3 linked regions of the Lonchura striata genome follow. The protein of the gene in region 2 interacts with the protein of the main gene of each other region in a pairwise test. Links are inferred from orthologs where the notes say so. Each region holds a gene or a part of one and is shown on either strand. Other genes may lie near its edges. The genes, in order: GRN, OTX1 and SPRY1.

Region 1 (3,740 bases), on a different chromosome or scaffold from region 2:
ATCACTGCAGGACACAGCCTGGGGGGAGAGATATGGGGTGACAGGGGCCCTGGGGACAAGGACAGGGTGTGCACAGCACGTGGGGCAGTGCAGGGTGCCTGGTATGGGGACATGGCACAGGTTGGGGTGCCCAGGGCCCAGTGTCCACCACAGGATGCCCAACAAGGTGTGTCTGGTGTAGGATGATTGGGACAGGCTGCCCAAAATAGGGTGCTTGGCATCACTGTAGGGTGCTTGGAATTGGGATGTCCAGAATGGGGTGCCTGCATGGATGGGTACAGGATGAGTGACGTGTGTTGGGGTGTGGGGTGCTGGTTTGGAGTGCCCAGTGAGGGGTGGCTGGATTGGGGTGCCTGGCACAGGAGTGCTTGGTTTGGGGTGCCTGGTGGAGGATGGCTAGGATTTGGTGTCTGGCATGGGGTGCTTGTTTTGGGGTGTTCAGTGGGGGGTGGGGGGTTTGGGGTGCTGGGCACAGATTTGGCACAGCTGCCCATCCCAGGGTGCCCAGGGCTGTGCCAGCACTCACGTTCTGCAGGGGACAGCAGCCGTACTGCCCTGGGGACAGCTGGCAGCAGGTGGCCCCATCGGGACACGCCGAGCGGCCATCGGGACACAGCACCTGGCGCAGCGCCACTGGGGGGACACACGGTGTCACCACGTCCCCTCCCCTGGCACAGCGCCACTGGGGGGACACACGGTGTCACCGCGTCCCCTCCGAGGGCCCGGCACAGTGAGGGCACCCCCGGGCACACCCCTTACCTGGGGCAGGGGGCAGGCGCTTCCAGGCGGGGAAGGCTGTGCCCAAGGGGATGTCGGTGTCACCGGCGGGGGACACACAGCGCCCGCGGGCCAGGTCGCAGATGGTGGCGTGGGGACAGCAGTGCACCTTGTCAGCACAGCACGAGGCCTGCGGGTGCCAGCCATGCTCGTCACAGCGACGGCCGTGCCAGGCCCCCCCCTCAGCGTCCCCGTGTCCCCACACCCCGTACCTGGGGCATGGGGCAGCACCCCCAGGCGCCGCTGCCCGTCACACAGCACGTGGCATCATCGGGACACTCGGACTGGCCGTCAGGACAGGGGACAGCACGGGGGGCTGCGGAGACAGGTGAGGCACCCCCGTGTCCATCCTGTCCCCTTGAGGCCCACCCTGACCCCCGCCACCCCCCCGTGTCCCTGTACCTGGGTCTGTGACACAGGACTCCCCATCAGTGCTGCAGCGGGACCCTCGGGGACAGCAGCGGTGGCCCCCGGCACAGGGGACACTCTGGGGAGAGAGAAGGGGGAAGGAGCGCAGGGGGGTCAGGGAGTGCCCCCCAAACGGCAGGGACAGGGGGAAACTGAGGCACAGGGGAGGGGGCTCACCTCTGGCAGCTGGCAGTTGGCGGGGCAGGATGAGCGGTCCTGGCACCCCATTGCACTGCGGGCAGGCAGGGCCTGGGGGGGCATAGGAGGGGTTATCATCCCCTGCTGAGGCCCCTCCGATCCCCCCAAACTCCGTGCACTCACCGGGGTGATGGGGCAGGGTCCCCCCTGGGGACAGGGCAGCTGGGCCCCCGCGCTGGCCAGGGCCACCCACAGCAGCAGGAGGGTCCTCATGGCTCTGGGGGCACCTGCAGGAACCCCCCGGCCTCAGTTTCCCTTCTCACTGTGCGGGCAGGCAGTTCTCAACTTCTTCTTTCAGCCATGTGTTGGGAAAGCCCCATCCCCCCCTTCAGCCAGCTCCCCCACCCCGGGGTGCTGGGGGCACCCACGGAGAGCGGGACACCCTGCGGTGTGTGGCACCCCAACCGCGCCCCGATAACATCTCCCTGCGGTGCCGGACGGGCCCGTCCCACAATCACGGTCACGGTCACGGTCACGGTCACTTTCACTTCCCTTTCCCCGCTGCGGGCACCTCCCGCCCCGCCCAGCGCGGCCACGGGGGCTGTGTCCCATGGGGGGCTCGGGGGGACCCCGGTGTCACTGCACCCCCACCCCTGCGACCCCCCCCGGGCAGGGCTGGGCTGACCCCCGACATCGCCCAGCAGCAGAGCCGGGGCTCCCAGTGCTCCCAGTAACTGCAGTACCCCCAGTGCTCCCAGTAACCACAGTGCTCCCAGTGCTCCCAGTATCCCCAGTGCTCCCAGTAACGCCAGTGCTCCCAGGGCTCCCAGTACCCCCAGTGCTCTCCCATGACTCCCAGGACCTCCCGGTGGATCTCAGTGCTGCCCCATGATTCCCAGTGCCTCCTAGTTCCTCCCGTGACTCCCAGTTCCTCCCAAAGCTCCCAGCACCTCCCAGTCGTCCGTATGACTCCCAGTAGCCCTAGTGTCTCCCAGTGGCCCCCGTGACTCTCAGTTCCTCCCGAGACTCCCAGTTCCTCCTGGCAGCTCCCAGTGCTCCAAGTGCTCCCGGTACCTCCCGGCTATGCCCGTGTGTCCCAGCGCTCCCGGTCCCCACCAGCGCTCCCGGTCCCGGCCGCAAGCCCCCCCCACCGCTGGCCGCAAGCCCCGCCCCCACCGCCCATTGGCCGCCCGCCGCACCCGCCGCGCTGCCATTGGCCAGCCCGGGGTGAGGGGGCGGGCACGGCGGCCGCCTCACACCGCCACGTGACGGGCGGTCACGTGCCAGCCCCCCCCCCCCTCCGACCCCCTGGGGCTGAGGGCGGCGAGAGCGGGGGGGGCTCGGCCTGAGGGAGCGGGAGCGGGGCGGCGACCCCGCAGACCGCCCTGCCCGGGACACGGACCCACAGAGACCCCGCAGACCGCCCTGCCCGGGACACACACGGACCCACAGACCGCCCTGCCCGGGGCACGGACCCCTCTGTCTGCAGCCTGGAGCACTCCTGTGTGAGCCCCAGTTCCCCTCTCACAGGCAGAGACACCACGAGGGCACAGACCCCTCATCAGGGCACAGAGCCCATCAGGGGCACAGAGCCCACCAGGGGCACAGAGCCCATCAGGGGCACAGACCCCTCATCAGGGCACAGAGCCCATCAGGGGCACAGAGCCTACCAGGGGCACAGAGCCCATCAGGGGCACAGATCCCCCTGCCCGGGTCTCAGGGTTTTGCCCCTTGGTGTCTTGGAGCTCTCCAGACCTCGCTCCCAGGGCAGGCAGTAGCCCCAGTGCCTCCCAGGCCCCCAAATCCTCCCCAACCCTGCAAATTTCCGTCAACCCCCTCCAGTCCTCCCCAACATCCCCAACCTTCCCAAAACTCCAATCTTTGCCCCCCAACTCCCCCATCCTCCCTGCCAATGCCCACAAGTGGCCCTAAATCCTCTCCAAGTCCCCTCCAAGCCCCTGTGCCCCAAAGACCACTTCAACCTCTCCAACCCTTCCCAAAACTTCTAACCTTCCTTTCCAAGTCTTTCCCACCCCCTCCAAGCTCCCCTAAATCCCCTCCAATGCCAATGCCCCTCCAAACCCCCTCCACCTCCCCAAACCCCTCTTCCAACCGATCCTAAACATTCCCTTAACTCCCATTTCCCCTCCTACACCAACTCCCTCATTTGCCTCCAAGTCCCCCAAATGACCCCCGTCCCAGGAAATTCACTCCAAAACCTCTTCCACTCTGACACCCCCTAAACCTTAAAATCCCCTCAACTTCTTCAACTTCCTCCAAACCCTTCATAAACTCCAAACCTCCCTTTCCAACACCCCAAATCCCCTGCAAACCCCTAAACCCCCTCTGATCTTCCCAACCCTTCCAAATCCCTTTCAGCCCATGCCAACCTCCCTCCACACTCCCTTCCCAGCCCC
Region 2 (3,740 bases):
CGCCCCCTCCGCGCCCCCCGCCCGCTCCGCCCCGCGCTGCCCCGCGCAGCCCCCGCCGCGGCCGCCGGGCGGGCGCTCAGTCGCTCCGCAGGTGGCCGCGCAGGTGAGGCGGGCGGGGGCGGTGGGCACCGCGCTCACCGACGGGGCGGGCGGCGGCGCCGGGACGGAGCGTAGCGGGCCCGCGGCGCCGTGGGCAGGGGTGGTGAGGGCGGCCGGGCCGGGGCTGCCTCGGGATTTTTTTTTTTTTCCTTCCCTCTCTTCTCTTCACTTTTATTCTCCTCCTCTTCCCCGTTCTCTCCTGCCGGGACGGGCCCGCTCCGCCGCGTCCCCGACAAAGTTATGCAACGCCGGGTCCCGGCTCCGCCACCCGACCTGCGCCCGGCGCCGGCCTACGGGGGGCCCCGCGACCCCCGCCCGGCATCCCCCGCCCCGCGGCCCGGGTGCCCCATCGCCCCGGCTGGGGGGAGTCGTGTCAGAGAGCGGGGGCTGCCCCCGGGGCTCGACGGGGCCGCCCGGGGTCTCTCGGCTCCTTCCTCCCCTGCGCGGGTATCCGCGGCATTTTGCCCCGGGCCGGGCGCTGCCGGGTCTCCGGTGCCGCGTCCCCCGCCGGCCCGTCCCGGCTGCCCGCGCTGTCGCCGCTCGGCTGCCGGCGCGCTCTTTTTTCCTTTTCCCCTTTTTAACTCTTATCCATTTCTAATTAAAACGTCCCCGTCTGCTCGCTTTTAAATTAATTATACTTCCCTCCTCTGATACCTCCTTTTGATTCCTAATCCAATTATCTTTTTAAATAATTGCTTTATCTGTCCCGATCGCCGGGCACTGTTGCCTCTCGGCACTTGCGCGCGACTCGCCTTCGTTTAAAATAAAATAATAATAAAATTAACAATCGGAAGCCGCCCGCGCGGAGCCCCCGCGCCGGGCGGGCGCAGCCCCGCGGGAGCCCCGGGCGGCCGAAGCCTCACCCGCTTCTCTCCGCTCTCTCCCCAGGCGCTCCGGCCTCGCCTCTGCGCGGGGAAGAAATCCGCCTGCTTCTCGATCCTCGTTGTTATTTTGATTTTATTTTTCCCCTTCGTTTTTATTTTTCTCTCACTTCACCTGCTATCTCTCGAGGACCTCGTGGCGGTGACGGCAGGACTGAACGAAAAAAACTCTTTTCACGCCGACTTTGTGCTCCGTTTTAAAATTGTCGTTGGCTTTAATTTTTTTTTTTTTTTGGTCTCTTATTTGGGGATTTTTTCGGGGGCTCTTTTTGTCAGTTTTTTTTTTTTTTTTTCTTTCATTTCCCCCTTCCCCACCGCATACATTCGATTTGATTTTTGATTTTTTTTTTCCTGCTGGACTTTGGAGGAAAACTGCCCGGCTTCTAGCATGATGTCTTACCTCAAACAGCCCCCTTACGGCATGAACGGGCTGGGGCTGACGGGCCCGGCCATGGACCTGCTGCATCCCTCCGTGGGGTATCCGGGTGAGTGCCGCGCACCGCGGCCCCCCAGTCCCCCACCCTCCAGCCAGCGGAGGGGGAAAACTTCCATCCGTGCGGGTTTGGAGGAGCTGGTGGGGCCGCACGGCTCAGGGTGGGTGGTGGGCTGGTTGTTTGCCTGCACCCCTGCCTGGGGACATTGGGGTCTAGCTGGATTTTCCCCCTGCTCCCGGGATGTCTTCGTTTTCCCAGGGATTTTTAAGGATAAAAAACTTTCAGATTGAACAATAACAACACAAAAAAGTAATTAATTTCGACACAACGAAATCTCGCCGTGGCTCCCTCTGGAGCCAGGCCTGACCCTTGCCCAGCCCTGCGCCCCTCGCCCTGCCGGCAGCGGGACGCGCTGCGGCAGCCGGGGGTGTGCGGGGACGCTGCCGCTCTTCGGGAGCGCCTCCAGCCCTTGTCCCGGGGACGCCGGGGCTCCCCCGTGCCGGGGCGTGCGGGAGGTGCGGGGGGGCCCGGCGTGACCCCCGTGGTGGTGCTCCTCCCGCAGCCACCCCGCGGAAGCAGCGGCGGGAGCGCACCACCTTCACCCGCTCGCAGCTGGACGTGCTGGAGGCGCTCTTTGCCAAGACCCGCTACCCGGACATCTTCATGCGGGAGGAGGTCGCCCTGAAGATCAACCTGCCCGAATCCCGAGTCCAGGTACCGGGCCTGCGGGGGGAATCCTGCACCGCTGTGGGATGGGGATGCAGGACCACCCCAGCTCAGCTGGCGCTGCTCAGACCGGCTGCTCCATCCACACTCATCCTCTTTCCTTGGGATGGGGATGTGTGTGGGCTCCCATCTGCTCGTCTGTCCCACTGTGGGCACATTCAGCCAAAGAGGGAGCGTTTATTTTTTATTCTCTTGTATTATTTTTATTAATATATTTTCTGTCACCGTCCACCTGCTCCAGGGTATAGCAGCCCTACCAGCTGGGTGCTTCCCAGAGGAATTCCCTTTGGGCACTGCTCAGTGGATACCCAGGAGGGCAGGATATGCAGGCAGCCCCCAACACAGGATCTGTCCCCCAAATCCATATTTTGTCACTGTGCCAGGGATATGCACGAGCTGGGACACCACAGACTTTGACCCTGGCCACCCTTGCTTTTGGCAGGCTGTGGGGTGCCCGGGTTGCCGGGCAGGGGTGGGATGTGGGATTGTATTTAGGGGTGTGAGGGGTGCGCAGCGTTAGTGGTACCGGGAGAACTGGTGCCAGGCTGAGGGTGGTTGGCCGAGGAGGCCCTTCGGGGCTGTTCGCTCACCCCACCGTGCTCCTTGCTCCCCTGCGCCCCGTTTTGTCCCTGCAGGTCTGGTTCAAGAACCGCCGCGCCAAGTGCCGGCAGCAGCAGCAGAGCGGCGGCGGGGCCAAGAGCCGCCCGGCCAAGAAGAAATCCTCGCCCGCCCGGGAGAGCTCGGGCTCGGAGAGCAGCGGGCAGTTCACGCCGCCGGCAGCGGCCTCCAGCTCCGCCTCGTCTTCCTCCTCCAGCTCGGCCTCCTCGGCGCCGGTGGGCGCCCCGGCCTCTCTCAGCACGCCGGCGTCATCCATCTGGAGCCCCGCTTCCATCTCCCCGGGCGCGGCGCCCGCGGGGGTGACGGTGCCCGAGCCGCTGCCGCCGGCCGCCGCCTCCTGCATGCAGCGGGCCGGCCCCGCCGCCTCGGCCGCCTCCGCCTCCTACCCCGTGTCCTACAGCCAGGGCGGCGGCTACGGCCAGGGCTACCCCGCGCCGCCCTCCTCGTCCTACTTCGGGGGCGTGGATTGCAGCTCCTACCTGGCGCCCATGCACTCCCACCACCATCCCCACCAGCTCAGCCCCATGGGGCCCTCCTCGGTGCCGGGCCACCACCACCACCACCCGCTGAGCCAGAGCTCGGGCCACCACCACCATCACCACCACCACCACCACCACCAAGGCTACGGCGGCACGGGGCTGCCCTTCAACTCCTCCGACTGCCTGGACTACAAGGAGCCCGCCGCCGCCGCCGCCTCCTGGAAGCTCAACTTCAACTCCCCCGACTGCCTTGACTACAAGGACCAGGCGTCCTGGCGCTTCCAGGTCTTGTGAGGGACCGGCCACCATCCCCCCGAAGCTGCCGCTGGTCCCCCACGCGGGGACTCCCCACCGCCTCCCGGGCAGGACTCTGGGCTCTTCCTCCTCCTCCTCCTCCCTCTTCGTTAGCAGTGGCGATGTCCTGGGGAGGTCCTGCCGCCCCCATCTCTACTGACTGATATTTATTTGCTTCCTGCACCACTCCACCAGGTTTATTATAATTA
Region 3 (3,740 bases), on a different chromosome or scaffold from region 2:
CAGAATGGCTTGGTTGGAAGGGACTTAAAAGACTCTGCAGTCCCAAAGCTCCTGGGCATGGGCAGGGACACCTTCCACTAGACCAGGTGGCTCAGAGCTCCATCCAACCTGGCCTTGGACACTTCCAGGGATGGGGCATTCACAGCCTTTTCCTGTGCCAGTGCCTCACCACCCTCCAGCAAAGAATTTCCTCCTACCCCACACAAGAAGCAGCCTTCTTCATGAGCACTGAATACAAATCCACAACAGACCAAGGCTGAATGAATGCGAAAAGGGAAAGATTTACAGCTGTACCAGTCAGGAGCTGGGCTCCCTAGGGGATGAAAAACAATATCCCAAGAAAATGCAAAGACGTCCAGTGCCATCTTTGGGGGGAAAGCGCAACATCAACGCGGCGCAGACTGACAAGCCCAGCTGCAGACCGGGGCGAGAGTTGAACAGCCACCTCCACCCCCGCGCAGATCGCTCGTAAACTGCTTCTCCCCCCGGACAATAAAAGAAAAATTAGTAAAACAAAATAATAAAATAACGTACGATGCAGGCGGCGAGAGCCCTCACGGTTCTGCACCCGGGGCTGCGCTCCCTCCCCGCCCGTCGGGGGTGGGATCCCGCTTCCCTCCCCTTCTCCACACCCGCTCGGACACGCCGCCAGCGCCCCCGTCCCGCCCTGCTCCGCCCCGCTCCCCGCAGCCCCGGGCGGGCGGCGGCGGCGCGGCGCCCTCTGCGCCCCGAGCGGAGCGGAGCGGATCACGGCGCTGACGGAGAGGAAGGAAGAGGAGGGGAAAAGGGGAAGAAAAAAAAGTTATGAATGAAAACATAGTTGTTGTTTTTTTTTCCCTTTCTTTCTCTCCTTCTCTCTCTCTTCCCCAGAGGAAGGCAGATCTTAGCCCGGCGCTGCCTCGGGAGAGCAGATTACCTGGCGCTTAAAGCGGCAGCCGAGCGGCCGCTCAGCCCCGCGCTGCGGCTCGGCACCCTCCGCCTCAGCCCCTCCAGCCCCCACCTGCGAGGAGCGTCTGGGGGATGTTTTTGACGTTCTGCTCGTTCGCAGCCGGCCACGATCCCCAGTAAACCTTCCCGCAGCAGCCCGGTGCCTCCATTCCGGGAGGGGGACGGTGGGAGGGTGGTCGGGGCCGCCCCTCACCGGGCGGGCGCCGCAGCGCCCCGCGGCACCTGCTCGCTGCGGCAGCGCCGGCCCCGCGAGTGAGTGCACGGCGGGTCCCAACTTACGGGTGTGCAGGCAGCCACCGGGAACGGCAAATCCAGCGGGCGGGGGGCGGCGGGGCCTCGGCTCCTCGCTCTCCCGGCCCCCGGGGAGGGGAGGGCCGGCGGGCTGCGCTCCTAGTCCCCGCGCAGCCCTCGCTCGCCGATCTCCACGTCCTACTAGGCCAGCAGAGAAGAGCCCCGCTCTCCTGCCCACCTCAGCTCCCCTCTCCCGGGGTCAGCATGCAGCGGCCCCGGCCGCCCGTGGAAGCGGCGCTCTCCTTCGGCCACGGCTCTCTCGGTCCGGAGGCGACGGGGAGCAAATCCAGCCCTTCCTGCAAAGCGGAGTATCTGGATGGAGCCTCAGGCGGCTGCAGGCTGCGGCAGGCAGCGGGGCTGTTGCGATGCTGGTCTCTGTGAAAAGGCGGCGGGTGCGCGGCTCCTGCTCCGGTTGTTTGTTATTTCCCTTTGCGATCGCAGAGTGCAGGGCTGCGGTCCCGCTCCGGCGCTCGGCTTCACCGCATGGTCCTTGCCGCAAGTCCCGTCTGGCAAAGTGCAACCACAACCTCTGGTGCGAAAGATTCGGTTGGGTTTTTGCTTTTTTTCGTTTTGATTTTTTATTTTCTTTCTAAAGCGATCAAGAAGCGGCTCTAGCTCTCCAGGCAGAACTCAGCGAACTGCGAACGAAGCCAGAGGCAGCGCAATGCAATGGCCCTGCGAGCTCGCCGCACACAGCCATGTGCTGGCTGTCGCTGCCGGGGGCCGAGTGACAGGCTCGGGGCAGGGGCAGGACGCGGCGGGGAGGGGCGACCCCGCACGCCGCAGTCTGGCACCGAGGTCTCCGCAGGCTCGAGAGGGTCGCGCAGAGCTCCGACGCGCCGGAGACCCCGCGTCGGGCGGGACGGGCGAGTACCGACCCGGAGCTTCTCTGTGAGCAGCGAATCGCGCCCAACTCAGCGCTGCCGGCCCGGGGAGCCGAGCCCCGGTTCTCCCGCCCGGTGCCCCGCGGAGCAGCGAGCGCGGCTCGCCCGCACCTCCCGCACGCCTCGCAGCGCGGCCGCCCCCAGCGCGGCGCGGGGAGCCCCGGCCGCCCGCCCGCACCTGACCCGGCGGGAGGTGGGTGTGCGGCGCGGCGAGCGCCGCCCGGGCTTACCTAGGGCCGGGGTGAGCGCCCGCCTCCCGCGGCACATTGGCGGCGCGGATCCAGCCCGGGCAGTGCCGGCAGCCGCTCCGCGCTGCCCCGCCGCCGTTCCGGAGTGACTCGGGCCGCGCCTCGCCGCCTTTCAGCGCGCAGCCCCCGCCCGCCGCCGGCCGCGCCCCCCTGATGTCAGTGTGCCTCCGAAATCCCGGCGTGGATTCCCCGCCCTCCCGCCGGGAGCCGCTCCCGCGGGCCGCCAGGGACAGAAGAAGGGAGGGAATTGAGGAGGGAAGGAGGGAGGACCTGCCCCTCTCCGGCCCCGGCCCCGCGCTGTCCCGCGGCCGCGGCTCCTCCCGGCCCCGAGGCCCCGCCGGCAGAGGGAGCGCCCCGCGGGCTCGGCCCGGCGGAGCTCGGAGCTGCCCGGCTCGCACACGCTGCCCCCGCCTGCGCTCGGCCGGGCGGGCAGAGCTCACGGAGCTGCCGCGGCACCGGCGGGCACAGGGCTCTGCTGAAGGGCTGAAGTTCTGCCACGCTCCTCTGACAGAGTTACAGAGAGATTCCTCTCTGCGTTTTGCCGTCTGCGCCCTTCAAGCCAGGTGGAACAGCCCTTCGTTTATATTCACAAGGTATTTTCTGCTTCTTTCAGGCTATTGCGGAGGCGGCTGAGGACCCGAGAAAAGCACTCCCTCTCGCCATCCTGCCATGAGATAGGAAGAGGCTCTTCCCATCGGCTGTCACTGCAGCAGAGATGATACTGGTTATCGACCTGGCTGTCTTGTCTCCCACCTTTCCAGCCCTGCCTCGGCAAGGTCCGATCTAAAGGTCACGACTGCATCCCTGCCATGATGCCAAGGAGATACAGGGATGCTTTCCAAGTCAGTAGTTTTATGGCCAGATATTACATTTGACGTAAGATTTTTGGGGGTTTGGTTTTTCTCAGTGAGTATTCTAATATTTAGAATATTTTAGAGTATTTAGGCCACCAAAAGAACAGGAAAGTGATATGAAGCACATCCAAATTCTCATAACAACATGTAAGGTATTGGAATAGTTGAGACTTCCAGTACTTGGCTAAACACCACTCAGCCTTAAGTTTATCTGAACCATACTAACAATCTCTTTCACCAAAAAAAAAAAAAAAAAAAAAAAAAAAAAAAAAAAAAACCAAAAACAAAACTTCTCCCACCTTTTGCCCCAAAGAAAAGAAGTATGTGCTAAGGATATGTGGAGCTGCTTAGCAGGAACATACATCCAAAAGCAAACAATCCCTACAAACAGGATTGTACCACAAAGGTGGTACTCTGTGACAGTCTGCACACCCAGCTCACACTTGTGGAAGCAGCACAGTGGTTTTTCATTAAACTTCACTAAGCTTTCATTTCATTTTTGAAATTTTCATCAT

Evidence for each region.
Region 1: the proteins of OTX1 (region 2) and GRN interact in binary tests that used the Homo sapiens proteins (3 or more experiments, as listed by UniProt). The two-hybrid records come from large-scale screens. The link is inferred for Lonchura striata from reciprocal best matches to the Homo sapiens genes OTX1 and GRN.
Region 3: the proteins of OTX1 (region 2) and SPRY1 interact in binary tests that used the Homo sapiens proteins (3 or more experiments, as listed by UniProt). The two-hybrid records come from large-scale screens. The link is inferred for Lonchura striata from reciprocal best matches to the Homo sapiens genes OTX1 and SPRY1.

The regions. Positions count from the first base shown.
Region 1 is NC_134627.1:2,570,843-2,574,582, reverse strand, and holds the start of GRN (progranulin), read right to left. Parts: upstream 2,481-3,740; 5' UTR 2,398-2,480; intron 2,392-2,397; exon of another isoform or gene 2,274-2,391; intron 1,611-2,273; 5' UTR 1,597-1,610; coding exon 1,507-1,596; intron 1,435-1,506; coding exon 1,363-1,434; intron 1,265-1,362; coding exon 1,180-1,264; intron 1,094-1,179; coding exon 990-1,093; intron 908-989; coding exon 760-907; intron 634-759; coding exon 527-633; intron 1-526. UniProt on the Homo sapiens protein: Secreted protein that acts as a key regulator of lysosomal function and as a growth factor involved in inflammation, wound healing and cell proliferation. Regulates protein trafficking to lysosomes, and also the activity of lysosomal enzymes.
Region 2 is NC_134605.1:870,871-874,610, forward strand, and holds the start of OTX1 (homeobox protein OTX1), read left to right. Parts: upstream 1-1,368; coding exon 1,369-1,465; intron 1,466-1,976; coding exon 1,977-2,128; intron 2,129-2,775; coding exon 2,776-3,531; 3' UTR 3,532-3,740. UniProt on the Homo sapiens protein: Probably plays a role in the development of the brain and the sense organs. Can bind to the BCD target sequence (BTS): 5'-TCTAATCCC-3'.
Region 3 is NC_134606.1:69,052,730-69,056,469, forward strand, and holds the start of SPRY1 (protein sprouty homolog 1), read right to left. Parts: upstream 2,490-3,740; 5' UTR 2,354-2,489; intron 579-2,353; exon of another isoform or gene 535-578; intron 210-534; exon of another isoform or gene 198-209; intron 1-197. UniProt on the Homo sapiens protein: Inhibits fibroblast growth factor (FGF)-induced retinal lens fiber differentiation, probably by inhibiting FGF-mediated phosphorylation of ERK1/2. Inhibits TGFB-induced epithelial-to-mesenchymal transition in lens epithelial cells.